Linked DNA regions of Solanum lycopersicum. The protein of the gene in region 1 interacts with the protein of each later gene in a pairwise test. Links are inferred from orthologs where the notes say so. Each region holds a gene or a part of one and is shown in the gene's direction. Other genes may lie near its edges.

The links.
Region 2: the proteins of abscisic acid receptor PYL8 (region 1) and probable 3-hydroxyisobutyrate dehydrogenase-like 1, mitochondrial interact in binary tests that used the Arabidopsis thaliana proteins (3 or more experiments, as listed by UniProt). The link is inferred for Solanum lycopersicum from reciprocal best matches to the Arabidopsis thaliana genes RCAR3 and AT4G29120.
Region 3: the proteins of abscisic acid receptor PYL8 (region 1) and TCP21 interact in binary tests that used the Arabidopsis thaliana proteins (3 or more experiments, as listed by UniProt). The link is inferred for Solanum lycopersicum from reciprocal best matches to the Arabidopsis thaliana genes RCAR3 and AT5G51910.

Annotation. Positions count from the first base shown.
Region 1 is NC_090802.1:2,735,207-2,745,872, forward strand, and holds abscisic acid receptor PYL8, read left to right. Parts: upstream 1-5,808; 5' UTR 5,809-6,199; coding exon 6,200-6,322; intron 6,323-7,098; coding exon 7,099-7,314; intron 7,315-8,604; coding exon 8,605-8,823; 3' UTR 8,824-9,124; downstream 9,125-10,666. UniProt on the Arabidopsis thaliana protein: Receptor for abscisic acid (ABA) required for ABA-mediated responses such as stomatal closure and germination inhibition.
Region 2 is NC_090800.1:85,412,243-85,422,718, forward strand, and holds probable 3-hydroxyisobutyrate dehydrogenase-like 1, mitochondrial, read left to right. Parts: upstream 1-3,979; 5' UTR 3,980-4,216; coding exon 4,217-5,284; 3' UTR 5,285-5,424; downstream 5,425-10,476. Other genes in the region: uncharacterized protein, read left to right, coding at 719-1,071, 1,542-1,640, 2,275-3,457; receptor-like protein EIX2, read right to left, coding at 6,170-6,267, 6,316-6,396, 6,517-7,133, 7,186-8,132, 8,318-8,767; uncharacterized protein, read left to right, coding at 9,723-10,004.
Region 3 is NC_090802.1:2,187,266-2,197,431, forward strand, and holds TCP21 (TCP transcription factor 21), read left to right. Parts: upstream 1-3,892; 5' UTR 3,893-3,933; coding exon 3,934-4,914; 3' UTR 4,915-5,082; downstream 5,083-10,166. Other genes in the region: peroxidase 66, read left to right, coding at 8,261-8,461, 8,572-8,760, 8,939-9,502.

The DNA of each region.
Region 1 (10,666 bases):
GTCAAGAGCTTTATGATATTAACTCAATATCGTTAAGACATTTTTGCGCTAATAAATATTGTCGCTTTAACAAAAATTTATTGCCAGTAAATATCTGAACAATAATTACATATTAGGTGCTTGAATTTTGATATTATGAAACTGTTAGGTTGTAAAATATGATTAATATATATAACTGTTTACGCGGTTTGATATATATAACTGTTTAGGCTTTATTATTTATTCTCTGTAACCAAAAAAAATCTGATTTATTAATATATATATACCCCACCGCCGTGAAAGTTTACTCATGGGGTGTTACCACGAAATATTATTTTTTTCTCTTTCTCTTGAAAATTCTTGTGTTCTTCATTTATCAAGTGTGTATACCTGAATTCGATCCTAACAGAAACTATAGATAATCAAACAAGGGCCCCCTAAAAAAAAGAAGCAAAAGAAAACTAACAGTGATAAAGCCCTTAGAAGAAGAAGCAAAGGATGTTATTGGTCATATGGTCAATTTGCTAAAAAGAAAGCAAGTAGGTGCTAAAGTATAAAGAAATTGATTGTACATAATAAAAGTAACAAACATGGGGGATTTGAGATGACGATTTTTTATTAGAAATAATCTCTCTATTTATTAAGAAAAGAATAAAAATTTATATAGTCATATATTACTCGTTAGATTATTCTGATAACCAAATATTTCGATTTTGTCAACTCGTCAAAATTGTCCTCTTGCTTGCCTTTGTAGTATTTGTTTTTTCTCAAGAAAATTAATCCATAAGTTAAACTAACTCATGAGAGTACATGAGAATATAAAAGTAAATATAGTGGTAACTAATAACTAGTAAAAATACCAAAACACAAAAAGCAAAATTATTAAATTATATATAGATGGTGCGTTATCAAGTTGTGTAGTGGAAAGCGATAATGGATTGTAATTTAAAATATTTTGGACAAAATGTAATTAAGCTAAGCAATATTTAATTTAATATGAAAATAACAACAAATGTACATAAAGTTATAACATCTAATGATTAATTGTTTTTATTCAAGATTTAATTAAACTATGTGTGGTCTTGGTATGAAAATAACAATACATGTGTATAAGTTATATCATCTATTCATTAAATATTTTTATTTAAGATTTAAACTAAGTGTAGTCTAGGTTTTATTTAAAATATCAACACATTACAATTAATCCTCCCCTTGTCTAACCTAGACAAATATTTATTTGTAATTTAAGCTTCAAACGATGAACGAATCATAAATTTGAATTTTCCACCTATAGTCTATAATAAAGAAGAGGAGAGAGATATAAGTATTACGGTGGAATGATAAGTATTTTTTTATTTTTAGTTTGAATTTTTGAAATTGAATCATGGATATAAAATTATCTTTGATGAGTGATCTCTCTGTACAAATTAAATTTATTGGCTCCCAATGAAAATATGGAATATCATGCGGAAAATTAAAAAGAAAATCACTAATAATGATATTATGTCTTATATTTTGATTTTGCAGACGACACAATATTGATCGACAAGATACTAATGAACAGAAAATTGGAGACATGTCTTAGATTCTGAAAGTTTCAAATGCATGACATAACACATGAGGTGGAGGTGAAAATGATAATCGAACAAGTAATACATATGAAATGAAGTTTTAAGTATCTTGATCCAATAATCTAAGGAGATGTGGAAAGATTGATAATGATGATGTTGTATATCATATTGGAGCGTAGTGGGTGATCTAAATGCTCGTGTCGGGGGGATTATATGATAAGAATGTGTCACCTACATCAATGTTCAGAAGATAAATGTAACAAAGATGAGGAAACTAAAAAGGATGTGTGAGGATGGTTATACATGACAAGATATGAGTGGTTTTCGACGCAGAACAAAAACAGAGAAACAAGATTATGGTTCGAGTATATGAAAAGGAGGTGCGAGAGGTTAACTGTACTAGAGTTAGGAGAGGTAGAGATAGACTGAAAAATAACTAAGAGAGTTAATAAGACAAAACTAAGACAAGTCCAGCTTAATAAAGACATGATCCTAGATGAAAAGGAATAGAGAATAAGAATAAAAGTATAAGATTGAAAAATATAAGTGATTTCTTGCTTCCTTTTTTTTTTTTTTGAAATATTATTTGGTTGATAAGTAGAAACTATTATTTTTAAAATATTTATATATAATTAAAATAAATATTAGTATAAATGATGAAGATGAAAATTAGGGGTGTAGGGTGGTGGGGTATGGGAATGGGACTAAAGGGCTAGAGGTTAGGATGGAGTGTGTTGTAATGAAGTGAGAAAGAAAATAATGATGTGAAATGATAGTGAAACTTTTTTTTTGTTATAAAATTTAAAATTAAAAGAATCTCAAAAAAATATTTTTTTTTTAACTTTTACTAGAATTTTTTTTCTTATTTTTTCAAAACAAAATATTAATTTTTTAAAAAATACTTTCTAAATCAACCAAAAACAAAAAAAAAAAGCAAAACATTTTACTTCAAAATAATGTCAAAAGAAGAAAGAAAACACTTCACCTTTCTCACTCTACTTACTAATTATACTTATTTTAGTAGCCAATGATAAAGTAGACTTGACCAAAAAAAACTTAAATTGGCCTCACTTGCAACTTAATTATGTCCCCACTTTTTAAATAATAGCCAATTATATGCCTAGAAATTAGCATGCCATAAATTGTGGCTATCTTATTGGTTATTTTGATTCGAATTGATAAAGACAAACTTCATATTTCTCAACTACTTCTAATAAATTCAAAATTAAAGTTAGTTCAATTCCTTACAAAAGTGTAATATCTTAAAATCAATAGATAAGTAAAAAGTATTCAAAAGAAAACATTTTTTTTATTATCTAAAATCACAAGGTACGTCAAAACTCCGAAGCTTAATATCTAAAAAAAAAATTTAGGAATTTTTAGCTAAAATCATTCTTCAATTATGACTCAGATCTAATGTACATTCTTATATTATTTCAGTGAATAAAAAAAATTCTTATACTATTTAAAAAATAACAAAAAAACATCCTTCATGCGTCTATTTTTGTTAAGAAACTAATTTAACAAATAATATATATATATATATATATATATATATATATATATATATATATATATATATTTATATTTGATCATGTCTTAGCTAAATCGAGAATATCAATGTTATCTAAAAGAATAAGAATATGAATAAAAAATAAATATTTTATCCTCATAATTTAAATTTTGTTTGTTGTTAGTTTATATGTTTTTTTTTTGCATGATAAAGTAAATTGACTTGCAACAAATAATACATGAATTTTGAAATATTTATACAATAGGATCTAATAGTTTGAAAGATTATGCAAAAGAAAAAACTATTTTAAAAATATTATGTGCAACTATTTAGAGATTCTCTTTAATTAAAAAAAAACATATAGTACTTATAATATATATAGACAATGCAATTCACATTTATACTATATATAAAAATACTGGCAATTTAGTGAAAATTATGTACGTGTTTTGTCGTGAGAATTCAATAATAATTACTTTATTTGAAATTTTTGAAAATGAAATTGTATTTGGCAATTTTTTAACAAAAGGATATTTAGAATTTAAATATATCTTGTCTGAATATTTTAATCCTTAAATTCTAGAAAAAAATAAAATTATCCAACTTGACTAGCTTAATCGTGTGTACATATATTCATTTAACTTAACACATTTTTTATTGGTGATTTGATTCTTTTTTTTAAAATAGACAAAAAAAAAATGAATCTTGTAATTTTTTAAATAGTGTAAAAGTGATTTTTGTTCACTTTTATAATACGAAAATATTCATTAAAATTAAGTCATAGTTATTAAATAATTTTAGCCAAATACTTCAAAATAAAAAGACAAAATCAAAAGCCGCAATCTTGAAGTCAAAGGAAGGAAAAGTAAAGGTTAAGAAGAAGGAAAAACGTGAGTGCCGCCACCGTAACTTTTGGCGGCGGCTTTTTTAAAAAGTAAAAACAATGTTCTGGACGTTGTTTTTATGCTCTATTTTATAGTTGAGTAGGTTTCCATTTCATATTTTCTATCAAATTTATTTTATCGTAGCGAGACGTTGCGTAATGTATTGAAATAAATATGTCCTATATTAACAAGAATATTATGAAATTAGATCTTTGGTTTAACTCAGATCTCAAAAATTAGCTCAAAGGGAGGAGGATTGTCCAAATCTTATAAGAAGTCCGCCCATTTCATTAACCAACAATGTGAAATTTTTGTCATTCTTTAACAAATATTGTATCAAGATATGACATATAACGTTGAGTTATGTATTCAAAATCAGAATACGACATTAGAATATTGAATTGATGTATTTGAAATTCTTAAATTTAAAAGATATTTTTATAGTTTAAAAAAACGAACAATGATAAATATAATTAATTTTTAAATACTAGGTAAAATATATTTGTATTTAAGGTTTGACGGGTCCAAAATTATATTATAAAGTAATCGGAGTATAAATGCTTTGTTTTAATTTTTGGTGTTTGCAAACATTAAAGTTGTGGTGGACATGGGGCTTTAAATCTCATTTAATAGGCTCAAAGTTAAGATAGAGAGTTTACTCGAAATAACTTAATTATTTTTTCATAAATACTTTTAAAACTCCAAAAAGCTTAATAGTAAAAAAAAAAAATACTAGCAAGATGAAAAAAGACCCTTGTGAGATTTATGAAATTAATTTTCATTTCATAGTGATATTAAAAAAATGAACCCAATATCATACCTATTTGATTAAGAAAACCAAACCAAATTCCCTTTATGCAGCTAGTGATATTGTCTCATTTCATATCAATTGTATTTTCGCTTAAGATTTTTTTTTTCAAACGAGAAGATTTGGTTGACCGTTCACTCATCTTTTGATGATCTTCCATTTAGCTTGTTTACTGTAACAGAGCGAGTAATATGTCGATGAAAGGTAGTATGCAACATTAAAGAAAAGAAATTGACAACGAATCTTAACTATAATTTCAAATATAACAATTTAATTAATAATTATTACTACATCTTCTTATAAATTAAGATTTTAAATTCAAATTTACATTGAATAATTAATGTTTCTTCATGTATTCTTAAAAGGATTTGATCACAATCTTGTTGTTTCTATATTTGATAACCATCATTTTATACCGCTTGAAAAAGAACACAATTTTGGACTTATCATATTTTTAGGTTATTGCTAAAAATAGGGTGTATAAAGATATTTAGATGAAATGTTCTAATTAGTAGAGGTGTTTTAATAATTTTTCATAGAATAGGGAGCTAAAAAAAAATCAATATTATTATATGTATTTGTTTGACTATTTTGTACGTCTACTGATAAATATTATTCACACATTATTTCTATTTCGGATCAAAAGTTTGTTTAAATAATTAATCTAACGAAATCAAAAAAAAATATTAAATGATTCTTTGCGCCTGTTCTAACTCAGTGAATAGAGTTATATTTGTTACTTATTATTGATGGGAGATGACATGTATTCTGTAAAATTAATTAAAATATATGAAATGTTAATCCCAAACATTACAATTTTTAGAAAGAAACATAATTAACTACTTAAAATATATAAATAATATGAAATTACAAACTGAATAATTTTAATTATTTAGGTAATTATTTCGATTTATTGATCGTAATTCTGAGTTCAAAATATAAAATTAGCATTTATTTATGCCTCAAAGGATAAAGACAAAAACAGTTATTTTGCTGTTAGAGATTTTTTATTGGTTCCAATAAGAGGGAGCTGAAACTGAGAAATCCTATCCCGTAAATAAAAGACTTATAAAGGGGTAATTTGGGAACTGCATAAGTTTCAACTCCCGAAATGGACAAAAGGAGTGGTTCATCGGGTAGATAGGGAGAATATGAAGGGTAAAAATGGAAAAAGACAAAGAGCAAGAAGACGCCGAAAATGTTTTAATATTCCAGGTGAGATAATTAAATAACTGTACTAAATCGATAATGGAGATCTATTTGTAATGGCGGTGGCGACTTCCCAAGCAAACCGAGTCCGACTCGTCCACTTGCGAGTTCAATACGCGTTAGCCTGCCTCTGAGAGATCTTTGCTACGTCATCGGAGTGATTCTCCGGTCACCGGCGAGAGAAATACACGCCGTTCATTGATTATTACAGGTTTTGCAGGAAAGTAAAGCGACGATGAACGCTAATGGATTCTGCGGTGTTGAGAAAGAGTATATAAGGAAGCATCATATTCATGAACCTAAGGAGAATCAATGCAGTTCATTTCTAGTCAAGCACATTCGAGCACCTGTTCATCTTGTTCGTTCTCCTCTCTCTCTCTCTCTGAATGCGTTTACTGCATTTTTCTTTTCCGTAGATCGATTGATTTATTTTCAGCTGTGTTGTGATTGATGATTATACTTTTAAATATCTTGAAGGTAAACATTAGATTTGTTATATTTGCGATGATTGTATGGTTTCTGATTTTGTATTGATCGTGTTCTCAGCTCTGTTTTCCTGAAAAAATACGACGTCACTAGGCTTTGATTTTGGTAGTCAGATCATCGAGTTCCTTTGTAGTTTTTTGTCTTGGTCAAATTTGTATAAAGGATGAAACGGATAAGATTTGAATTGTTTCCTATTTTAGGTCAAGCAAAGATTGTATCATCTTTTAGCTGTTTGGTTTATCCGTTCATGAAAGTTGAAAGTGACTCTAACTAATCTTTTGGTTAGTTGTATAAGAAAAGATCCCTGCTATAAAACTCTTGCATAACTAGGGGTGAACTAAAATATTCCTTGAAGAACTACCTATTACCTAATACAAGTGCTTATAGTGAACAAAGACGAAAGGCTAAATGTATTAGCAATTGATATGTTCATTGATTATGCAAAAGGGACAAATGAATCATCTGCAGTTATTCTCCACGTCGATTGCCTGTTTGCCTTATGCTTTTTATTTTGACTGAAGTGCTGGATAACTGATATTACTGCAAGCAGGACAAAATTAATATCTCTGATAACGTGAACGGAACTTGCATTTTGTATTTTGTGTTTAACCAGTCGTAATGGTTGTTGTTTCTCCCTCTTTTTATCAGGTTTGGTCATTGGTTAGGCGGTTTGATCAGCCACAGAAGTACAAGCCCTTTATCAGCAGGTGCATTGTGCAAGGAGATCTTGGGATTGGTAGTCTTAGGGAAGTTGATGTCAAGTCGGGCCTCCCTGCAACAACGAGTACTGAGAGATTGGAGCTTCTTGATGATGAAGAGCACATCTTAAGTGTCAGGATTGTTGGCGGGGATCACAGACTTAGGGTACTAAACAATTCTCTCTTGTTTGGCTGTTCCTTTCTTTTTTCAATTATTTTTTCTTATTTTTAAATTTTATTGTTATTAAGTACCCTTGAATTTGGTTTTTTCTCAGATCATGATCATTTCTATGGTAGAAGATTACCTCCAAACTAATTAGACTACCAAAATAAATTTCTAACTTGAATAACTTAATATACTTCTAATAAATAACTTAATATACTTCTAATTTCTACTTTACAGTTCTATTTTTAAGTGCTTAGTCATATATGTTTTTAGAGAAGCTCGAATCATCTGATATTGGTACTTCTTGTGATAGTGATATTGCAGAATACTAATCCTCTTCCCTTAAAGACCGTACAACCTGTCAGCAAAATAATGGATATTCTACTGTTACCTTCTCAAAAAAAATAAATAATGGATATTGCAGTCTGGTATTCTAGGCAAGCTAAAAAATTAGCATGTTTCTCATCTAAAGATTAATTTGTTCTCTTATAGATTGATGATTTTCGGGATTAAGCTTTAGAGCATTGAATTTATTTTCAGGGGGCTTTTTGTGATTGTACCATGGCAGGTTATATACCTTTTAATGCCCCCTTTGACTTGTGTGTTGAGAACTGAAGACAATAGCTCAATTGCTAGGCATTTGAGGGTTAGATAAGTGAGCATCTTCCTGATGCAGAGAACCAACTCCATTGATTCTTTGATTTGGCAAAAACGATTGGGTTCTTCTGTAATAGAACAACACTTTTAATTGATGATAGCACATTATGAAACTGAATGATCAGTACAGCACAAAGTGATATTTATTTTGCTTTTGAGATTATTCTTAGTAGAGAGCCGAGCATGTGCTTTTAGAATTATGATAACCTTTTCTGAAAGGTCGACTAGAATGCCAAGAAAAAATCAATTTAAATTGCAATCTTATTGGTAATAATTAATAAAGGGAGGATGGTATGTTATGTAGCACAATGCAGGTGTCTGAACTTGTGAGTTCGTTTGGGTTAATGACTTTCATGCACTATCTTTAATTGGGGAATATTGCAAATTGATTGCTCTTTGATGTCATGTCCTGTGAAGGCAAGTTTTTATGTATTTGGATTCGTTTAAGGAATCACTAGATGAATGATCTGGTTTTATTTTAGCAGGTTAAACATGACAGGTTAGTTTGATCTTGCAAAGATAGAGAGATACTTTGTGCTTGCTTCTTCCGACCTTTAGTATTGTTTTGACTACATTCAATTAAATATTCAGCCCTGTATGTTGCCCTTATCTTTTCTATTTGATCTTTTCCAGAACTACTCCTCTGTCATATCTGTGCACCCAGAGGTGATTGATGGAAGACCTGGGACACTAGTGCTTGAATCATTTGTAGTGGATGTGCCCGAAGGGAACACCAAAGACGAGACATGTTATTTTGTTGAAGCTTTGATCAATTGCAACCTAAAATCACTTGCTGATGTTTCAGAGAGGCTTGCTGTGCAAGACAGGACAGAACCCATTGATCAGGTCTAAATCAGGAAGACGTTCTGAAGGTTATTTCTACTTAGGATGAAGCTTCCTTAAGGCTGTTAGTTCTCCTGAGGCTTTGGAGGCCGACTGTATGTGGCTTGCTCTCTTCAATATTCCCTGGTGCTTTTAGTGCTCCGCCTTTTTTCTTCTTCTTCTGCAGTGTATGTTTAGGGTTCAGTCATATTACTTGTTTGTAGCGTCTCAGAACCACACGTTTTACAAGGATTTGAAGACACCCTGTAAATGGATGAAAAGACTAGCCTGTTTCCATTCTTCGAATTTTGATAGGGGGTGTGGTATGTCACTTGTCTCTGTTTTGTGTTGTTCCAGGGTATATTGAGTGTGTAGCCGTGTCTTTTAAGTTGCATTTGTGGTCTCTAATTGCAGTACGCAATGGCTGGGTACAGGAGGTGGGGTTGGGTGTGTGGATTGGGGGGGGGGGGACTCTATTTACTGAATAGAAGCACATTTAAGGCTCCAACAGTCCAAGAGCTAATGCTGTACAGACTAGTTATAGAGAAATGCTCTAGATCTGCAAACATTTCTTATTTATATCGTTGTTATTAATCATTGATCACGCAAAGACTTTTTAACTGTTGTGTAGTGGCTGGAGTTATGAGAGGAAAGTTGAAGATGACTTCTAGACTGCTTTAATAAACTGAGGATGGTAGCTTGTCATGTCACTCCGCTAGAGGTTCTTTCAACGAGCATGTAATTCACAAGACAAAATACTGCACACACAGATCTACTGTTAGGAATGTTAAGTGAAAACCAAAGCTTCCCTAATGGAAAAAGTAAACATGTCCAAAAGCAGTTCTAAATGTTAAGTTAGGATAATTTAACATGGCTCACTAATTTGATAAGTCTATATAACGATATCGAGATAGCATTGCGTTGAATTTGATAAGCTAATTTCGAAATTGTTTTATATTGTTTCAATATAATGATGCCTTGTTGTAATGACACAAATTTTAAAAAGACTCTAAAAAAACAGATTTGATCTTTTTGTAAAATAAACCACAATAAATTTTGTATAATGCGAAAGATTTAATGGTTTTGAGAGAAATTTAAATATTCAATTGTAAGAAACCTGTAACTTTCAAATCAAAGATTATAATTTGTAAATTTGAATCAGCCGAAGATAAAAAATGATGGGAACTTTATGGAGGGGGTAAAAGGAAAAATTGAAGAATAAGTAAGTAAGGAAAATATAGGAATAATAATATTGGTTGGTCTTAATTGTTAGAAAATAAATGAAGAAATAAAATAGATAATCATATAAAATATATAATATAATTACTTAAAGTTATTTCATTTCTAAATTATTATAATGACCTTACGTTGAGATAGATTAAAAATATCATAAGATCTATCCAAAAGGTTATTTTAAATTTAACAAGTACACAAAATAAAAAATTAGTTTTTTTAAAGAGGATTAACCTAATAATGATTAGTCTAGTTTCATTGTAGATTTCTTATAAATCACTCAAAACTAGAGATTATTATTATTTTGCTTTTGGTCCATACAATTTGAAAGTTCTTTTTTATGTATAATTACATATTATTTATAAATTTTATTTAAGTTATTATAAGATTATTTAAATTGAGATATTTTTAATATTAACTAAAAATATTTAAATTTAATTTTTTTTATTATATAGAAATATATATAGTTTGTCCAAGCCTATTGCAAGACATGATAATATATGTATAGAACATCACGTAATAATTAGCAGGTAGCATTATTAAAAAGATACGTAGCTTGCTCAAACCTATTGCAAGTAACACGATAATATTCGTATCGAAAACATCATATGACCATTTAGCAGCTAGTGTTGTTAAAAAG
Region 2 (10,476 bases), on another chromosome or scaffold:
ATTCTTTAGTTTTCGTGTTAACTTTATAATATAGGAATATTCTGTGTACAAGCAATATACCAAAAAGTAGAGAGCCTACATGAAAAATGGTTCCTTGAGAAATAGTACTCAATATGGAGAATAGGAACCTCATGGTAGTGCACCAAAATGAAACTAAAAACAAGAGGTTATATTATTCTCCAATGTGAAAAGTTACTTTCTGCTCCACCACATGCTCTTTATTAACTAAATAAAATTGTTCATTTTGTAGCAGACTATGCTTTTATATGAGGCAATTACTCCATTCAACAATGTATTAGCTTAAGATCTAAAGAAAAATCAAGCTCTTCACCTGATTCACATATAGAGATGGTTTCAGATTAGCTGAATTGCTGGTAATGTTTATCTTGGACTTGGAGTGCTTGAGATTGTATCTTTAAAGCATCCGAAGATAGCTGTCGTATTGGACATACTGTAACATCATGAACCAGTGTAAGAAGCTTTTAAAAGTCTAAAGTGAGGTGCACATTGTTCTTTTGTACGGTGAATATTCACTATGATGACTTCATGATTTGTTGAGTATACTATGATCTGGGCTTTCACTATCTGTATTATTCAATGACCAATCCAAGTTATTGCATGATTATATTTTGGTATATCTCTTGTATATGGCCAAGATGACCTTGTTATTATCAATGAAAACATTACTTGATAAGAAATAAATACATGATTGTATCAGGTTTGCAGTTCTTGCAATTTGAGGAGTTCTTGTGAAAGGGCATATTTACTTACCAATAAGGAGGATGAAGCAAGGACAATGGATGTCATGCGTGTCCTATTGACTTTTGGTTTTAATGCAATCAATGGATCAGTTGATAATGAGAGTCTTATGAAGAAGAAATCTGTAAAGACTGTTGTTCGCAAATTGCTTCACGAAATAGTGAAGTTGAGTGCTGTTCCAATAGATCCAAATCTTCCACCTCCAGTTTTTAAAAAACCACCTCCAAAGGTGAAGCAGCCACCTCCCCCTCCGAGGAAACGAGTCGGACGTGATGACATTGAGATGAAAAAAGGAGATTGGCTGTGTCCAAAGTAGGTTTCATATCTTTTCTTCTGCCCTAAGCTTCCGTCATCCTTCTTTGGGAATCAATAGGGTTTTCAATATAATGAAGTTATATTTCCTGATCCATCTTAAAACTTTATTTGGACCTTTTCTATGCTGTTCAAGTGCTATTGTTCAGAAGACAGTCCCAATTGATATCTGTAAGGCACTGTATGGCATGATGTGCTTCGACATCAACTTTTTTCCGTTGGATGGTCCTGAAAGGTCTGCTGTGACCGTTTAGTATGTCCAGCACAAGCAAAGCAGGGCTTCACCTCAAATAGGGCAGATTGCGTGGTGATGAATTGTCTTATCTTCATTATTAGTTCACCCTTGACTCTTATATCTGTTGATCTTGTATTTGGTTTTTATGATATGAACTTAAGAGTGTTAGCGAAATAAATTGAACAAAATTTGTCAAATTTAGAGTTGAAACATCATTAACAAGTTACATTGCCAGGTGTGACTTCATGAATTTTGCGAAGAATACCATATGCTTACAATGTGATGCCAACCGGCCGAAGAGACAGCTGCTTCCAGGAGAGTGGGAATGTTCCCAGTATGTGCTTTACTTGCCTTTTCTTATCAATCTTCTCTCTTCTGCTGACATGAGTATATTGTTGATTTCAGAGCAATATGTTGAATTAATCAGGAAATGGTGTTTATTTTTGCTAAATTTATTCAAGCACCACAATGATAGATGCCTAGGCTTAGGCTTGAATCTAGTAGGAGTTGCAGTTTAACAAGTTCATCTTGATGAGGAGGACTATTAAGAAGCAACTTTTCGGTCTTCTCTTCATAGTCGGGAAATGGAGTTTATTTTTGCTATATTTATTCAAGCACCACAACAATAGATGCCTAGGCTTGGGCTTGAATCTAATAGGAGTGGCAAGTTTAACAAGTTCATCTTGATGAGGACATTTCTTTTCTTCATTATCCAATCACTATTCTCTGTTGTGCCTGGAACAAGCTGCAAATTCTATTAATGATTGCATATATGCCCTATTAAACTTGTACACTCATTTACATGCTCGTCTAAGTTGGCAATTTCCATTTGTTGCAAAATGTTCAGAAAAACATTTGTTGAAAGGCTTTTCTCTTGAGGCTTTCACTTTCTGATATGTTTATTACATATTGATTTACCCTTTCTGTGACACTGACAAAAACAATTGTTTCCTTTTATGAATTGGCAGGTGTAATTTCTTGAATTATAGGAGAAATGTGGTATGTTTTCATTGTGAATGCAAGCGCCCAGTTGATGACTATATGGTTGCTCAACAGCAGGAGAGGCTACAAGGATCCAGGACACAGATGAATAAAATATCTCGCCGGCAAGATGTTTCTAATGCATGGAATTTTGATTTTGATGATGATGAGTCAGATGGTGCAGACATTGCTGCCTTCGAGACTGCAGATTCTCGGAAACTGGGTGAAGATTTTCCCCTGGATAGGCAAGAACGAAGAGATACTTCCAGGAGCAATGAAGATGGTTTCCACAAGAGCAGCAGGCCTCCAAAAGGTTACGAAACTGAATACCCCGCACCTGGGAAACCAGGGGTAGGCTTTAATGACTTTGATGATGAAGAAGATGATGTCGACAGCTATGAGATAGACAGTAATGGAGCAAACAGAAGTTCTAAAATAGATTTCTCGGATATTGAGGTCAACTCCGAATCTGAAGATATTGATAGTGTTGATGACACTTTGCTTGTTGGTAGAAGGAACAGTTCCCCCGCAAGCGATGCACATTTTAGACAGAGACATCAGAAAGGGGCGTTTCGTGGTTCTGAGGATGCTGAAGTGGATTTTGACACAGATGATGAGCTTCCAATTAAAACTAATATGAGATCTAGTCAGGTTTCTTATTCTAAACCAAGATCTAGGAACAAAGGTGCCAAGAGTTTTGACTCTGATGACGATTATGGCCTCAGCTCCGACTCCGATGATAGGGATTTCAGAAGTCAGCAGAATAAAGGGAATAAATGGGGATCAAGAAAGGAATTTGGACGGAGAAGCAGCTCCTATAGTGAAGATGAGCCCTTCTCTGACTCAGAGAGCAACAAAGGTAGGTCATTTCACAAAAATAAGCAAAGAGGCGGTAAGGCTGGTCAAAATGGCAGATGGGACTCATCCGAAGTTGGTGGTGATGGGATAAGAGACAAACGATCCTCTTTTCGAGATAACATGAAAAGAAGTCCCAGAGACTTACGTGGAAGCAGCAGGAGAAGCCAAGATAATGGATATAATGATTATAGAAGCCGTGGACGTGAAGAATCTTATAAACAGCAACGAGGAAGAAATAGTAATTATGGTGATCAATCAGATAGTTACTTAGACGATGAAAGACATAGGAGGCCAAGAATAAATGTCCGATGAGTCTCAACATTCAGTTTATCATTTCAAGAGTTGGTTTACTTGCCGGAATAGCACTATGGGTCTCCTGAATGAGGAAATGGAAGGGTTATCAGAAGTCAGAAACAGCATTTCAACTTCTGAATAGCCATCATCACATCAGCTTCTTCCACCTAAGAGAGATGCACTACAAGGAGAAGTGTTTCAGTGACTGGGTACAAAGTTGATTGGCGAAAGCTTCATACAAATAAGCCAACTGGGAAGTAGTGATTATTCCCAGGCGATGACTTCCTTGTAGCAACCCTAAGCTTGACCTGCAAAGATGCAATATCTTCAATCTTCTTCCAAGTTTTTCATTTACTTCAGCTGATGATAAGATCTACATGTTGTAACTATAGACGTTTTTCTGTAAACAATAATTTGCTAATTATTGATATTGGTCCCGTTGTAGTATCCTACAGAATTACACTTCATTAATGCATTTCTTAGCTTATCTGGTTGCCTAAGTCAATACTGTAATCAAAAGGACATGGAAATGTTGAGGTTCTCAGTTAATTTGTATACTAAAATGTAAATAACCCCACATCATTCAGCTACTTCTACTGAGTGGGGAATTATTCTGTATATTTTCAGGTTGAACTGGAAGAGCAAATATTAGTAATTCATCCCAAACAGATTAAAATATTAAAAAGTTGCTGTAAGAATTTGGTTATTTTGAAGTATATAAGCCAAGAAAATAATACATCTCTCAAATATAAAGAAAATAAAAATCTTCCATTCTCTATGATTCATAATATATCTTCTTCCTTTCATAAATTTGTGCGGCTACTACGTTTACATCCCCACCATTGTCACTACTCGCCCCAAACAATCCTCACCGTCACCGCCGCCACTATCACCCATCTCTGCCGTACTATGGCAACAGCCGTTGACCCATCCAATACTCGTCTGGGATGGATCGGTACCGGAGTAATGGGCCGCTCTATGTGCGCCCACCTGATTAACGCCGGATACACCCTCACTGTCTTCACTCGGACTCCATCCAAGGCTCAGGAACTTATCTCCATGGGAGCCCACTGGGTTGACACTCCAAAGGCCGTCGCTTCTCAATCCGACGTCGTTTTCTCTATCGTTGGCTACCCTTCTGACGTTCGCCAGGTAATCCTCGACCCAAACTCCGGCGCTCTTTCCGGTCTGCGTCAAGGCGGCGTCATCATAGATATGACTACTTCCGAACCTTCCCTGGCTGTTGAAATTCACTCTGCAGCCTCTGCCGCTGGCTGCTCCGCCATTGACGCCCCTGTTTCTGGAGGAGATCGCGGAGCTCGGAATGCTGCTTTATCCATCTTCGCCGGTGGAGAGGAATCCATTGTCCAAAGGCTTAATCCATTATTTAACCTTCTTGGCAAAGTTTATTACATGGGTGCCCCCGGAAAAGGGCAGTTCACAAAATTGGGGAACCAAGTAGTGATTGCTTCCTCTATGGTGGGACTATGCGAGGGCTTAATTTACGCGCATAAAGCTGGTTTGGATTTGAATCATTTTGTGGATGCCATTTCAACAGGCGCAGCTGGCTCAAAATCATTAGACTTGTATGGAAGCAGAATACTTAACAGGGATTTGGAACCTGGATTTTATGTGAATCATTTTGTCAAAGATTTGGGGATATGTTTGAGGGAATGCCAGAACATGGGTCTCGCATTGCCTGGGCTGGCATTGGCTCAACAGCTCTATCTGTCGCTTAAAGCTCATGGTGAGGGTGATTTAGGAACCCAAGCTCTCATTCTAGCCCTTGAGAGGATTAACAATTTGTCCCTTCAATCTGAGGCTTCTGCTATTGGCAAACCTTAGACTGATTATCTGTTTGATCCTTGACCACTATGTATCCATTTCTTAATGTTAAAATGTCCTGACATTTGTATTTTGTATCGTTTATCCTTCTATGAATGTTGATTTTCTCACACATATATAAGAAGGTGAGAGTTTGAATATTCTGTAGTACTTGATGAGACTTCCAGGGCAAAAGATCTCGAATTGAAGTTGTTGGCTACAGTTTCTTTAGTGTTCATTGTGAATCAGGCAGGAGTATTAAAGGCCCTGGATTTAGGTTGTCCAGAGAAGGTCTATCCGCAAGACAGCTGAAGAGCGCGTTGACGTCCATAGTGCATGATCTAAGCTATAGTGTTTGTAAAAGTAAAAAACATTAAGAAATTCCAGGGAGAAACAGAGTCATCCTTTTTTATTTACTGCAATAAAATCAAGTACTATGGAGAAAAACAATACAGCTAAAGAACTACTAAAAGCATAGTTAAGCAGAAACAGTTCCTGGTTTTAACACATACTTCCTTGCGACTCTGAAAATACTAAACAAGGAAGCCTTGAAAAAAATACAGCACCTGATAATTCTTTCTCCAAATCCTCTGAGAAATGGAAGTAACTGTATCCCCATGACTTCTTTTATTGTCAAGCTGCTAAACGTCACCAAAAATGTTATGACAAAACCTATTCCTGCGCTCATTAAAAACCACAACCTTTCATCATCATCATCTTCTTCTTCTTCAAATTTCTTGAGATCTCTTTTTCTTGGTGGAGAGCAATCTGTAATCAATGGTTTCCCACAGGGTTCTGGATTTCCTTCAAAACTTAAGGATTAGTGAAGGTTCCAAATTGGTTTTTCGATGGGATAGGGCCACCAAGGTTGTTATATGACAAGTTAAGATAGCTAAATGTAGTGATTTAAGTCATGCTCAATGGGATTGAACCAAAGAGATGGTTAGATGAAAGGTCTAGTGTCTCCAATTGCTTCATGCTCCCTATGTCCTCTGGAATTCTTCCTGATAATTGATTCCAAGATAAATTCAGAGTCATCAAGGCTGACAGACCTGTAATTTCATTTGGGATTTCATCGTGAAGATTGTTGAAAGAAAGATCAATAAGATTCACTATGTCATCCTTGTTCCCTTCTTAATCAACACCATCTTGGGCGTAAAAACATAGTTGAAATAGTAGTAATTTTGGATGCAACTTGTAAAATTTGACGGACTTAAGACCTCTCAAATTTCCTTAGCAGGAAGGGATAGAACCTGTCAAATTGTTATGGGAAAGATCAAGAATTTGAAGGCCAAAAATTTGGCAAAGTTGTGGTGGAATGTGTCCACCAATCATGTTGTCTGTCATGCTAAGCTTTTGCAAAGATAATAGACTTTCTCCGAACCACTCGGGTATGATGCCACTGATTTTGTTCTCTCCAATATCAAGTGTAAGCAAGCTTTTGCAGTTGCTTAATGATTTTGGAAGTTCTCCAAAGACGTTATTACGACTCAATCTCAACCAAAAAAGTGAAGGTGGTGAACATAATGAAGGAGGAATACCACCTGAAAGATTATTCTCAGACAAATCTATGACATGAAGTTGTTGCAAATCAGCCCACCAGTCAGGTATCTTTCCAGACAAATGATTGTCTGAGAGGTCCAATCTCATTAGCTGCTTCACTCTTGTTATTGAAAATGGTATAGATCCTGTAAATGTATTTCCAGAAAGATCTATAACTTGGAGTTTTGTCATCACATGACCAATGTTTATGGGGATTGATCCTGCAAACAGGTTGTTTGCAAGATTCAAATGTGTAACATTTGGCCAAAGAGGTAACAAACCATGGAAGCTATTGGAACTTAAGTCCACCACAACACCTTCACTGTAACTAGAAATAGAAGTCCACTCTCCGGCTTTGGGATGACAGAAAATTTACCAACCTTGGAAGATTGCCACCGATCTCGTTATCTGATAGATCTAGAAACTGCAACTGTGAGCACATTGTCCAAAGCCAAGGAGGTATAGGATCTGAAATGGAGCCGTTGGAGAGAATAATAATACGAAGCTGCTTTTGAGTTTTCAGCCATGTCGGTAACTTGGAGCCCAAAGCACATTTCCTTATCTCGAAATATGTGAGGCTAAATGGAAGAATCCATTCACTGCTCAAGTTGACAGAAAACCTTTCTCCACATGATATGGCTAAAAACTTCAGTTGATGGAGTCTTGCGAAGTCATTTTGTGAAAGATTGCCTTCCCAATTATTTGTTGCAAGGAATAACTGAGTTAATTCAGTGAGATTAAATATGGTTTCAGGTAAGGCTCCCTTCAGTTGGTTTTGTCCAAAGTCCAAAATTTCCAACCTTGACAGCTGCTCAATAGATGTGGGAATCGTGCCAGATATCTGGTTAAAAGATATACTAATCATCCTTAAGTTCTTCAAATGTCCTAGTGAATTTGGAAACTGCCCTGTCAACCGGTTTCCAGCAAGGCCTAAGAACTCTAGGGTCGTGTTGCTGCAGCTAGACAACCCTTCCACTAATCTGCTTATGTCTCCGTTAAGTTTATTCTGTGTTAGATACAAATCCTGCAGATCACAGAGTTTACCCCACTCAACATTTGATATTGGGCCTTCTATGTTGTTGATTGCTATATCAAGTGTCTCAAGGGTGGTGGCATTAGACAACCATTTAGGCAACACAGAGTTAACAAAGTTATTGCGTGAAAGGTAGAGATAAGAAAGGGAAGTCATATTCCAGTTGGGAAAGGAGTAAGGGATATAGCGAAGATCACAGTTTTGCAAACTGAGAGTCACTAAAGATGGCAGCTTATTAAAAGACTGAAGCCAATGTGTTGCCGAAGAAAGGTTCACATAAGAAAGATCAAGATACTTCAAAGAGGACAAACCAGAAACCCAATGCAAATCTTTGATCCAACTACTTTCAACAGAAGCGTAAGGATAGGAGTATGCACGTAGGCTTAAATATTGTAAATTCGACAGGTTCCCAAATGAAGGAGGAATACCAATGAGAGATGAATGGGTGAGGTTAAGATATTGTAATTTTTCAAGAGAACCCAAGAAAGTGGGAGTGGCAAGTCCTTGGAAGTCATTTCACCAAGGTCTAAATACTCTAAATGTTTCAAGTCAAGTAAAGCAGGACTTATCTTGCCACCCAAGCACGTCGAAATGTCAGAAATCAGATATCCCATTTTCTTCTGATAGCAATTGCCTGATGTATCTTTGAGGTCAAGCCTGATGAAATTACCAGTTTGTACGTCACAAGAAACACCTTTCCAGATGCAGCATTCTTTGCCAATCCAAGAAGCCAAGTGGTCAGAGGGATCTGTGAGACTTTGCTCAACTCTTAATAGGCCATTCCTCTCACTCTCAATACATCTTACTTTGGCTTCAGTAGTGTTTGTGAGAGGTAGAGAAGCAGTGCTAATTGCTTCAACTGAAACAAGTAGAGGAAGGGATTGAAGAAAGAAAATAAGTACAATAACTAAAACTTTCCGACATGCCATTTTGAGATAATCTTACAAGTAAAAGAGATGGTAAGTTTAAAGTATGTTGCTTTTTAGTTGTGTAATGCCTGTTCATATAGAAAGGCAACTATAAAAAAGGACAAATGTCACTCTCAAATCTTAAGATGGAGGAAGCAGCCTACCTAGTTGGTCTTCACTACCTATTTGAGAAGGCATAAGTTTAAATTGAATACAAGTCCAACTCATTTAACTCTGTGGACTTCTCAAAAGAGAGTTGAATAGTACAAGTTTCTGCATTCAACTATGTATTTTAACTCAGAGCACTATTGTGAGATGAAAGTTTTGTAGTATTAGTTGAATCATTAAGTGCAGTAGTACAGACTTCGATTGAATTTCAACTGTATATTCTAAAACTAAACTAGAAGAACAATGATTTAATTTTTCTTTTTAAAAGGGTTACAGTAATTAGTAATGGAACTAATAAGCACTGACAGCATAAAATCTTTTGCACTGTCAGTGTAATTTAACCTATGATATTATGTTAGTTTACATTTATAAAAATAAAGGCAGCCTGGTGCACTAAGCTCTCACTATGCTTAATGTCCATCAGTGCATTGAATTAAATTCTGGTTCCGCCATATGTGCCAACACTAGCAGGAAATGGATGGTAAAGACAAGTATTATTTGTGGTCCTCTATGTACCTTAACTGAGTCAATAGCAAAGATATAGTGAGACTGATTATTCAACTCCAAGAATGAAATTTTACATTTATCTCTAGTTACATGAAAACAAGTAAGAAAGTCAGCTTACAGTAAATGCAAATTTAAGCAGCAAGAGAAATAAAAGGAAAAAAAAGACACTGATGTGAACCTTTTGGAAATAAGTGTCACCCCACTAGTCTCACAGGCAAATAAGGACCACTTGAGTGGCTACAATATTGAATCAAAATAAGTATCTATTGCCTTTTTTTGTCTTTCTCAATCATGAAGAAAGATGGAATGTTCATCTCTGTACAACAAAAAATTTGTAATTGGAACTTCAGCTTTCTTTCCAAGAACCCCTGAGAATGTTAACTACCACACTTTTCCATCAACCTGTACTTTTCCATTAAATTCTACAAAACCCTTTGCTACCCTTTCTTCTTCTTTTACAGTGAAGTGTTATGGTCAGAATTATGGGGATGAAGAACCTCTTTCTGCTTCTCTGGCATATGATGTTCTTGGTGTTGCTCCGAATTGCTCTACAGATGAGCTGAAATCTGCTTTCAGGAATAAGGTACTATTCCCTCCATCCTAATATATGTGAAATTGTTTGATTGGGAACCGAGTTTTAAGAGAGAAGAAAAAATTGTTTTTTGAAACTTCTGGTCTAAAATAAGTCATATGAATATCTGTGGCAATAAGGGTAAATGGGAGGTTTGAAGTTAAATTAGTACTAAATATAGAAATCTTGACATTCTTTTTTTTGGGGATTGATTAAAAAGAGAAAGTATCACAAAAATTGAGACAGCGGCTGTATAGAATTTGCAGTTTTGGATAAACCATTAAGAATCCATGTCGATTTTCCTGTTTTCTTTTGAACTTCTGAAAAAGTTGGACTCTCTATACTTTTTTGAGCTTGCAAGGTTCTTTATTTTTCTGGCTATGGATTTATGGAACCTCACTTACTAGTTTAAAGTTGTAAGATAGACTTCATGCAGATTGCACACTGAGTTTTTGGTATAGGTGTTCTGGGGCTAATGATCTAT
Region 3 (10,166 bases), about 550 kb from region 1:
TCCAAAAGTAGTACAATATATTTTCTGTGGATCTGACGTGGTGCATCAACGTTTTTAAAGAGCATTGAGCCATGTAATCTTTAGGTAATTTATACTTGATCTATTTTATTAATTTAGTTTAAGATTTTTTTACATTTATCAGTACTGTATTTTAACGTGTTATAACAGGTAGCGTATCTCTCTTTTTTTTTTGGTTAATTACTAGTCCTACTTTTTATGAATAATTAGTTATTAATAATGACTTAATAATATGTGTATTCGATCCTTCAAAAATAGTACATTATATTTTTTGTGGATATGTTATGGATGCATAAAACGTTTTTGAAAAGCACTGAGCCATATTGTCATTAAGTAATTTATACTTGATCTATCTATTGATTTAGTTTAAAAAATTTTATATTACAATTTACAGTGTATTTTAATATGCTATAACAGGTAACGTATTTCTTAGTCCTATTTTTTTTATGAATAATACTTATAATATTTTATATTAATTAGTTAAAACTATTTCTAGAGTTTTTGGCTATCAACATGTTTCCTTGAATAAAAGGGCATACTTGGGTGATGAAAACTTACTAGTTAGAGTTATTCAAGTATTTGTTATGTAGGATTTAGTTATACAGAGTTTCGTTATACAGGTATTAGTTATGCATTGTTTATTTATGCAGGTATTAATTGTATAGGGTTTAGTTATGTTAAGTTTAATTACGTAGAAATCACAATACGTGAATTATTAACTATTGAATATTAAATTTGTTGTAAAATATTTATATATACATGGGTAGTTTTATCCCTTTTAAACGGAGAGTTTAGCCCATGAAACAAGCAAAGGGTCCTAGGTTAAGCCCCATTTGGCCATAAATTTAGAATTTTTTTTTAAAAAAAATAAAAATATGAAATTTAAAGTTGTGTTTGAATATACATTTTAATTAAAAAGGGTATTATAACTGAAAGTCTCGAAATTGAAAAGTTATTTGAGCAAATTTTTGGAAAATTAAAATATTTGAAAATCAAATCAAATTTTAATGACTAAGCGTAAATATTTGAAAGTAAAATTTTAAAATTTGACGTAGAGATCACCAATTTATAAGGTCATTGGGTGTAATTCATCATATGGCTTAGGACACAAATATCCTGTTAAATTACCATCAATTTTATTTAAACACTTAAATATTGACTTATTCAAATTAAATATCTGAATATATAATAAAACATTTTATTCCTTACTTTCACTTCAATTTAAAAAATAAAACAATAATTGAGTGTGATCTTCAATATCAAGTACATATTAATTACTTACCTTATTCAATACATCAGCTAGTCTCAATAATTCATAAAATTTTAGGCATTTTAGTGATGTGCATAACTAAAAAGAACTTTATTCAAATAATTAAGTAATTTACCTAATAAATACTTCAAATTGCATTTAATTTTTTCTGAAATTTAATTTAAAAATTATTTTATCAAACATACAAATGTACTTGTGGGGCACTTCTAGGAGAATGGGCCCCAGCACACTTTTCCAGGCGGCCGCGTGGTGGTCCACTGGCTACAGCTACCCAAATTGAAAAATCAAATCAATTTGATGATTTAATCTCAATATAAATTTAAAAATTGATGATATTTATTTTAATTAAAAGAGAATTCAATAAAAAGTTGAATTAAATCAATTATATATATATATATATATATATATATATATATATATATATATAAATTTTAAGTATATATATAGCATGTGTACAAATAATGGTGATATTAGTATTGAAATTACTTTTTTGCACTATAAAGTTGGAGACATTAAAAATAATATACAATGCATAAGTTTCTTTTAGAAAATTAAAGAATATTAGTTTACAAAAATAATATTATCTACAATACGGTAGAAAAGATTTTTTCAAATATAGGGATAATTATTTCTTTAACCGTGGTAATAATTGCATTAAATTTCATAGATTAATATCATAAATTTTTATGTATTAATTACACAACAAATACAAAATAGAATGTATATCTAATGTTAATATATCAACTAAAGATAATTTTTTAAAAAATTTTCATTCGGTGTTCGACGCTCATATTGAAGTCTCGACTAAATTTAGATTGAGCACTACAGGGCTTATTTGGGGGGTGATCCTCCTGATAGAATTTTCTCTATATCTAAAGTTCGAACCCGAGACATCTGATTAAGGACAAAAACATTCTCATTAATGCACCACAATTTATGTTGCTCCAAATACATATACAATGATTTAACACAAAATATGAATAATATACAAAATTATACGCATTTTCTTTTCTAATGCACTTTTATCAAAAGTCCATAACAGTATACCAAACTTTATTAAACATGTCGAACTATTTGCATTATGTTAAGACCTCATCTAACCAACAATATAATTTGATAATATAAAGGTGGCAATGTCCAAAAAGGCCTTAACAATTTGATCGGTGGATATATAAACTTTAGTTCAAAAAAAAACTATCAAAATGGTCGGTGTTACTTTATTTTGATTCTTTTAACATTTATATCGTCATTAAAAAAAATAGTAAGAAATATAATTGCAAAAGAAGATGGTTTTGAAGTGTCTAATTGCGTTCTTTAAAGAGATATTCCTCATGTAAATAGTGGGTTAAGTATAAATAATTCCATACAACAAATCGTTTTGTTTATTACGGAGATCTTTTTTAGTTTACTTCCCGAAATGCTTTATATTAATAAAATTTCAGAGGTGACTCTTCCTAAAAGTTATATTCTTTAATGAACAAATAATTTTTTATAAATATCATGTAATAATTTTTTATAACACTCAATCATAATTTTTTATTTTTCATGTGTTTGTTTCTATTAATAATTATGTGGGAAAATCGGGCAGAATAAAAGGAAAGAAATCCAAAGAGCAAGAGAACCTAGCAAAGAAAATAACAATTGATAGATTTAGATTTTATTCGTCATGTGAAGCCCATTATTGAACTTCACACTATTTTTTTTCACAATTTAGGGTTAAATTATCAAAATAAATATCTTTAATTATTATATTATAAATTATTTCACCTAAAAAATATCAGGCATCAAAATAAAATAACATCAATATATTAAGCTCTAGTTTGATCTTTGTCTTGTCAAACTTTTTACCTAACATAATTTTCTTAGAGTTCTAATTAAATTTAGTTGGCGTTTTGGCCATGTGATATAGTATCGTGAGATGAAATCAGCATTTAGACATATGATTTTATGCTGATTACATCTCGTGATTTCATATAATGAGATTTGATATCATATTCTTCAAAAATCATGGTATAGAATCATATGAGAATACAATATCATGATTTGAGTTATTTAAATACAAAAATTAATTCACGAATTTATATTTTGTTCAAACAACCCCACATTTCTATATACTAACTATTATTTCACATTTAAATAAAATTTATAATCACGTCATAACGTTTTAAAATTTATTAATTTCACTGACATAAAAAAATTTAATTCTCATCAACATAAGTCACTTTAACTCACACTTCACCAATATAATTTCACGTCATGTTTCATTTTAACTCAAATATATTGATGAAACAATTAATTAAGTGAAGAACAAATAGTTTTGCAATAATTTATTATACAATTTTATGATTTTTATTTATTTAATAATATAAAATAAATAATTAAAGCTATTTTAACAATTTTAGAATTTATGAGATTCTTATATTTATATTAAAAAAAAATACACAACATTAAAATTCTATATCATATGTCCAAATAAAATTTTTAATTTCGTCGCGTAATTCTATATTAATTTCTCCTTGTGTCAATTTTCATTAAGTACACAGTGGGGTACTGTAGTTATTTCAATCCTCCTTTTTTATTTTTTTAAGCTCTAAATTTTTTTGGGTTTCAGCTATTTGCAGCTGTGTTTGGGATTTTTCTGAAAAATGGCGAGGGTTGAGAACAACCAAAACATTGAACAAGAAGATGACGAGGTGAACGACTGTAAGATTGATCCGTTACTTGGTGATTCTCATGAATACACCATTGCAGCGGTAGGGAATGTCACCGATGCGGAAGGGGTGGATCCGTCTCCGGCGGCGTCCACTGATAGGGTGCTGTTGTTAAAGGAAGAACCGGAGGAGAATGATTTGCGAGTTTCTACGTCGGTTGGGATGAATATGCAATTGCAGAAGGTAGAGAAACAACCGGTGAAAAGATCCTCAAAGGACCGGCACACGAAAGTGGAAGGCCGTGGTCGGAGAATCCGTATGCCGGCGGCTTGTGCTGCTAGAATCTTCCAATTAACGCGGGAACTAGGTCATAAATCGGAAGGTGAAACTATAAGATGGCTTCTAGAACGCGCCGAGCCAGCCATCATTGCCGCTACTGGAACGGGTACGGTTCCGGCCATCGCGGTATCAGTAAACGGAACGCTGAAAATACCGACGTCAAACAACGAGGGAGAAAGCTCGAGGAAGAGAAGGAAAAGGGCTGCAAATAGCGAGTTTTATGAGGCGTCAAATTTTGCACCGGTGGCTCCCATTGCCCCACAAGGTCTTGTTCCTGTTTGGCCAGTGGGCTCTGGGAATGGACTTATTCCCACCACAGCATTTACCGGTGGGGCAACTTTCTATATGCTACCGCCAGGCACTAATACAACAGTTGCTGCTACTGGGGCTCAGTTGTGGGCCACTCCAATACTTAATGTACCTTATGCAGCAACAGGGGTCTCTGCTGCTTGTGTGTCAAAAAGTGATAACAATGGAGGCAAGTTAAGCACAGTTGCTTCAGCTATGCCTCCAAGTTCTAGTTCTACACAGATGCTTAGAGATTTCTCACTGGAGATTTATGACAAGAGAGAGCTTCAGTTTATGGTTGGTTCTGGTTCCAGTGAAATTGATCAAACTTCCTCATCTAAATCCTGATTAGGGTTCTAAGACCCATTAATTTATCTTTTTTTGTTAATCTCTTCTGGATAAGCATCTAGTTTTTTCAAAAGATTATTTTAACATTTTGCTTGTAAGCATCTAGGAAAGGAAGTTGCTCTGCTGTGACATGGGTTCGTCAATGTTAAATGTCAACTTGCTGTTTTCTTAGTTTTGGGGCACTCAACTTTTTCTTTGCATTATAGTGCTTGTTAATGTGCTCTATCCATTAGTAGTTTTTTCTTAAAAAAAAAGTAAATTTTGTACTAACATAAACTCGATCCTTTAGAAAATGTTTGTCATGTTCAATTTGACTAATTTTTTGATCATATTAATTCGATATTTTAAATAAAAAAATTAGATATTCTAAAACTATATGAAAAGTACTATAAATTATAATTTTTTACATATTAATATGATGAAAAAATGTGTTAGTCAAAGTTTTTATAGTTTGACTCTAAAAATAGAAATCATGACAAACAATATCGGAAGAGAAAGTAATATATAATATATATTTTCAATAAATAAAGAATACATATAAGCTATTTTTGTAACTGTGTATGTACTGTGGTTCTTATCTTTGGGTCCATTTGGCCCGTGCACTTGGATTACTTCATAAATTACATGTGACTTTAGAGTAGGGCCCACTAAAGATGGATAGAGGGGTGTGGGTCAATGAATACTAGTCAATACAAAAATTTAATTTTTTTTTTAAAATATGGTTTTTTAATTCAAAGGCTATGATTATTAATTAAATTCTCTTGATAAATAAGAATGGTAAATAGAGGGTATAAGTGTTAGGCACATACCAACGATTATGATAGAGTGATTTTTACTTCTTTATTCTGTATTAACAATTCAAAATTTTTCGTATAAAACTTGTTAACGACCATCAAACAAAAATAAAAATAAAAATTATGGGCAGATTTTATGTCATTTGAAGAGTGGGACCCAGTTCTAGGAGAGTGGGCCCCACGCTCAGTAATCGAGGAGGTCTACTGGCTACTAATAAGACTACCTTTCAGGTTTGTCGTTAGGTTTGCTGCTTTTTTGGGGGGTGGGGTCGAGAGAACAGGCTGGCAATATTCTGACACGTGGCGTACTCTTAGTGGTCATATGGGGATTACCTCTCTAAAGCTGACACGTGTCATATGATGTACTCTACTGTTATAATGGATATCATCTTAACTCCCCTAATATTTACTTAGGGCCTTTTTTCTTTGCACATTTATAAGTGTATTAGCATAAACAAATTTAATTAAAGAATAAATATGTACAAAATCTAAAAAGAATTGAGTTGCGCACAGAGGCGAACCTACTTATAGAAATGGATTGTAAGTACAAAAAATTATTTGACGGTACCTGAAATTTTTGAAGTAGTTTTAAAATTGACGAGGACATGCTAGAGGATTTTGAAATTTGTAACTTGAATATATGGATAAGATTAAGGAGGAATCGAAGGAATGAGAAGAAAGAAATTGTATAAAGTAAAATAGTAAAGAGAAAACATTATCACAGTACTTATCTTTTTTTATATTATTAGTGCAATTTTAACCTTACGTTTTATTACACTATTTTAGAAGTCATCATATATATCAGACTTCTTGTGAAACTAATTACCTACTGAATATTATTATATACTAGCTTAACTTGATATATAGTGTAAAACGTGCACAATATACTCTTAATTAATTCAACAAACCCTGGAATAATTAAAGCTTCTGTTGTTATAAAGTACGCCAACTATAAGGAAAGTTAGTAGTTTAATTTAGTGGTGGAACAGTTCCATTCATAATTATTAGAGGTTTCGAATTTGAATTGTGAATTATGGAGAAAATTGTCATTTCCAAATAGATCATGCACGGTCTGAATTTTATCGAAACTTCAATACAGCCACCAGACATCGAGTAGGAAAATGAAAAAAAATTCATTCTTACCCTTGAATCCAGGACAGACAAGTTTCTTTTTTTCTTTTTTTTATGTATGTATATACGTGTATACCTCTTAGTCCTTACCAACTGTTTGCCTTGAAGATTTAGACCAACCTGAAAGAAACAGATTAACTAAAAATTTACGAGAATTGATCTTTTTCAGTAATATTTATTCTTCATTTAATGAGATTCTTATTTACATGACAATTTAAGTAACATAATTTAAAAATAATTATAAGGATAATAATAAAAAATAGTCTTAAATTCATGCCGTTAAATATTTTTTCTTAAGAAGTATACCAAATCCCAATAATAATTCACTTAAAATGGCATAAAAAAGTAGAAGCAACTTAATAAGACTGTATACGTTATCCTCCTCAGACTTAATTAGTGAAACTATATTCTCATGTTATATATATATATATATATATTGATGTGCTTCTTACTCTTTCCATCTTTGACTAAAACAGAGAAAACTTCTATCTTCTTTGTGTTTTACGTTAAAGAAAAACTCCACACATAATAACATGAATTTACCTGTTTGTTTGATTAATTATTTGAATTTTAACTGTATTACATACACGCTGTTTGCATGATTGGTTACGTATTATTTCAAAATATATTGCATTGTATTTTTTAAAGAAAAGTAGGGTACAAGATAGAGTTAATATAAAAAGGTACGGTAAAAGATAAAATGTAATTATTAAATAGTAGATAAAGACAAAATGGGAAGCATATATTAAGCTAACGACGCAATCACATTAAATCACATCAGATGAGTCTTTTCGTCATATTACGTAACGATATTTGAAAAATATAATTCAATATAATTTAGTAACAATCAAAATAAACATGGTATTTAAACTAACAATATAATATAAAATAATATAATACAACGTGTAACAACCATCCAAACAAGGCGTTAGTGAGGACCAGACATTTGGTGCGGGAACAATTATATTTGATATATGAGAGTCCAATATCATAAATGTAAAGTGGAGAACAAGTAGCCATGTTCTGATATCATGTTAAAGAAATGAATTTTGAGACAAACGGTAAGGAATAACCACTCATCTCTTAATCATCACAGGTGAAACAAAATCATATATATTTGAAAGAAGAGAAATTTGTACTATTCTTGGAGTTGTTGTTAGTAATGTTGTTGAAAGCATTGCTGGAAATGCTTAGTCTCAAAGCACAAAATAAGCTTCATAAGACTTCCCACTTTTTACTAATTGAGTGACTTGAAAGTACATATTAGTAATATCTCCATGCACCAAACACCAAAAATACTATTTGTTTATTTGCTCATTCTATGCTATATATACCCAAAATCCTGTTGCACAATCATCTCATCTTCCTTTCAAGTTGCAATTAATTAATTAAATCCTTAGTTACCAATTTAACCTTAACTAATGGCTCCTTTTTCTACTATCTTATTTCTTGTTTTGTTAATAGCCCCTCTATGCAATGCAACTCTTGGAGTTCAATACTATGATCAAACATGTCCTCATGCTGAAGACATTATTTATCAAACAATTCGCAACGCTTCATTTTTTGATTCTAAAGTCCCTGCACGTCTTCTCAGGATGTTCTTTCATGATTGTTTCATTAGAGTAATCTCTCTTTCTCTATGTACAAAATTTTGGGCATCAGGCAAGTCATTATATTATAGATGCATGTAAGAGATGGAAGTTGAAACTGTTTTGTTAATGACTATTTACAGGGATGTGATGCATCAGTTCTATTGGATTCAACACCAGAAAACAAAGCAGAGAAAGATGGTCAGCCTAACCTCTCTCTTGGAGCTTTCTATGTGATTGATGCTGTCAAAACTAACCTCGAAAAGGCTTGCCCAACAACTGTTTCTTGTGCTGACATAGTTGCCATCGCAGCTAGAGACGTCGTCGCCATGGTACTACTCCATCATCCTCCCTACTAAATAGTCAATCAATGTGCAGTAAATAATACAATATGACCCGTTAAAATATACTACTAGCTACCAAGGCGTTGTCAGTGTATATAAGTTAAATTCCACTGCTTAAACTGCAATCATAAGCTCATAAATACTTCATGTTTGATCAATTTTGTAGTCTGGAGGTCCATACTGGAATGTACTAAAGGGAAGAAAAGACGGGAGAGTGTCAAGGGCTAATGAGACAGTAAACTTACCTGCTCCATCTTTCAACACAAGCCAACTCATTCAGAGCTTTGCCAACAGGGGACTGGCAGTGAAAGATTTGGTTGCCCTTTCTGGTGGACACACACTTGGATTCTCACACTGCTCTTCATTTGAAGGCAGACTTCATAACTTCAGCTCAGTGCACGACACTGACCCGAGTTTGAATGCAGTATTTGCACAGAGCTTAAAGCAGAAATGCCCGAAACCCAACAGTGATCGCAATGCAGGACAATTGTTGGACCCAACTTCATCAGTATTTGACAACAACTATTACAAGCAAATTATTTCAGGCAAAGGTGTTTTTGCATCAGACCAGAGTTTGTTGAATGACTACAGGACTGGATTGATTGTTAAGGCATTTGCCAATGATCAAGCTACGTTCTTCAGGGAATTTGCTGCTTCAATGATCAAGCTTGGAAATGTTGGTGTCCTTGAACATGGAGAAGTTAGACTCAACTGCAGAGCTGTGAACTAAAAAATGAGTGTGTTTGTACCTATGTTTGTTCTTTTTGCTGTCTAATAATCTGAGGCTTAATGAAATACTAGTATGAAATATCTATGCACCTTGTATAATTCCCTTGTAAGGTGAAGAGGTAGCAGAGGAAGAAATAATATCATCTATGTTGCTTATTGTTCATAATCCATCCTCTAAATTGTATTCACCGTACACATATAGTTTCTTTCAAAATTGAGATATAATACAAGCTCGTAAATTCTAAGATGGGGTAGGGTGGAAGTCTCCACATATGAATGTATTCCACCTACAACTATTAGCTTCTTCTTAAGTATCTCGATAGATTGCAATGGAGACATTAGTTGTACTCTATGACTACTACAACTACATACCTAGCGTACTCCCACAAATGGAGTCTAGGAAGGATAGAATGTTCCCAGATTTTACCCCTACCTTGGGAAGTAGAGAAGTTGTTTCCGACTAAGTTGCACAAACTCTTCACTTGCGATGTCGCACTCCTGTTGGATTCACCAGAAACACACTAATTTTGGAGAATCTGAAACAAAGAGTCTGAGCAACATAGGTTCTCGATAGACTTTCGGCTCAAGTACAAGCATTTCACGGCAGTTCAATCAAGAAAAGTAATAATTGTGCTCTATGATTAACAGTGCCAATTACGTAAGAA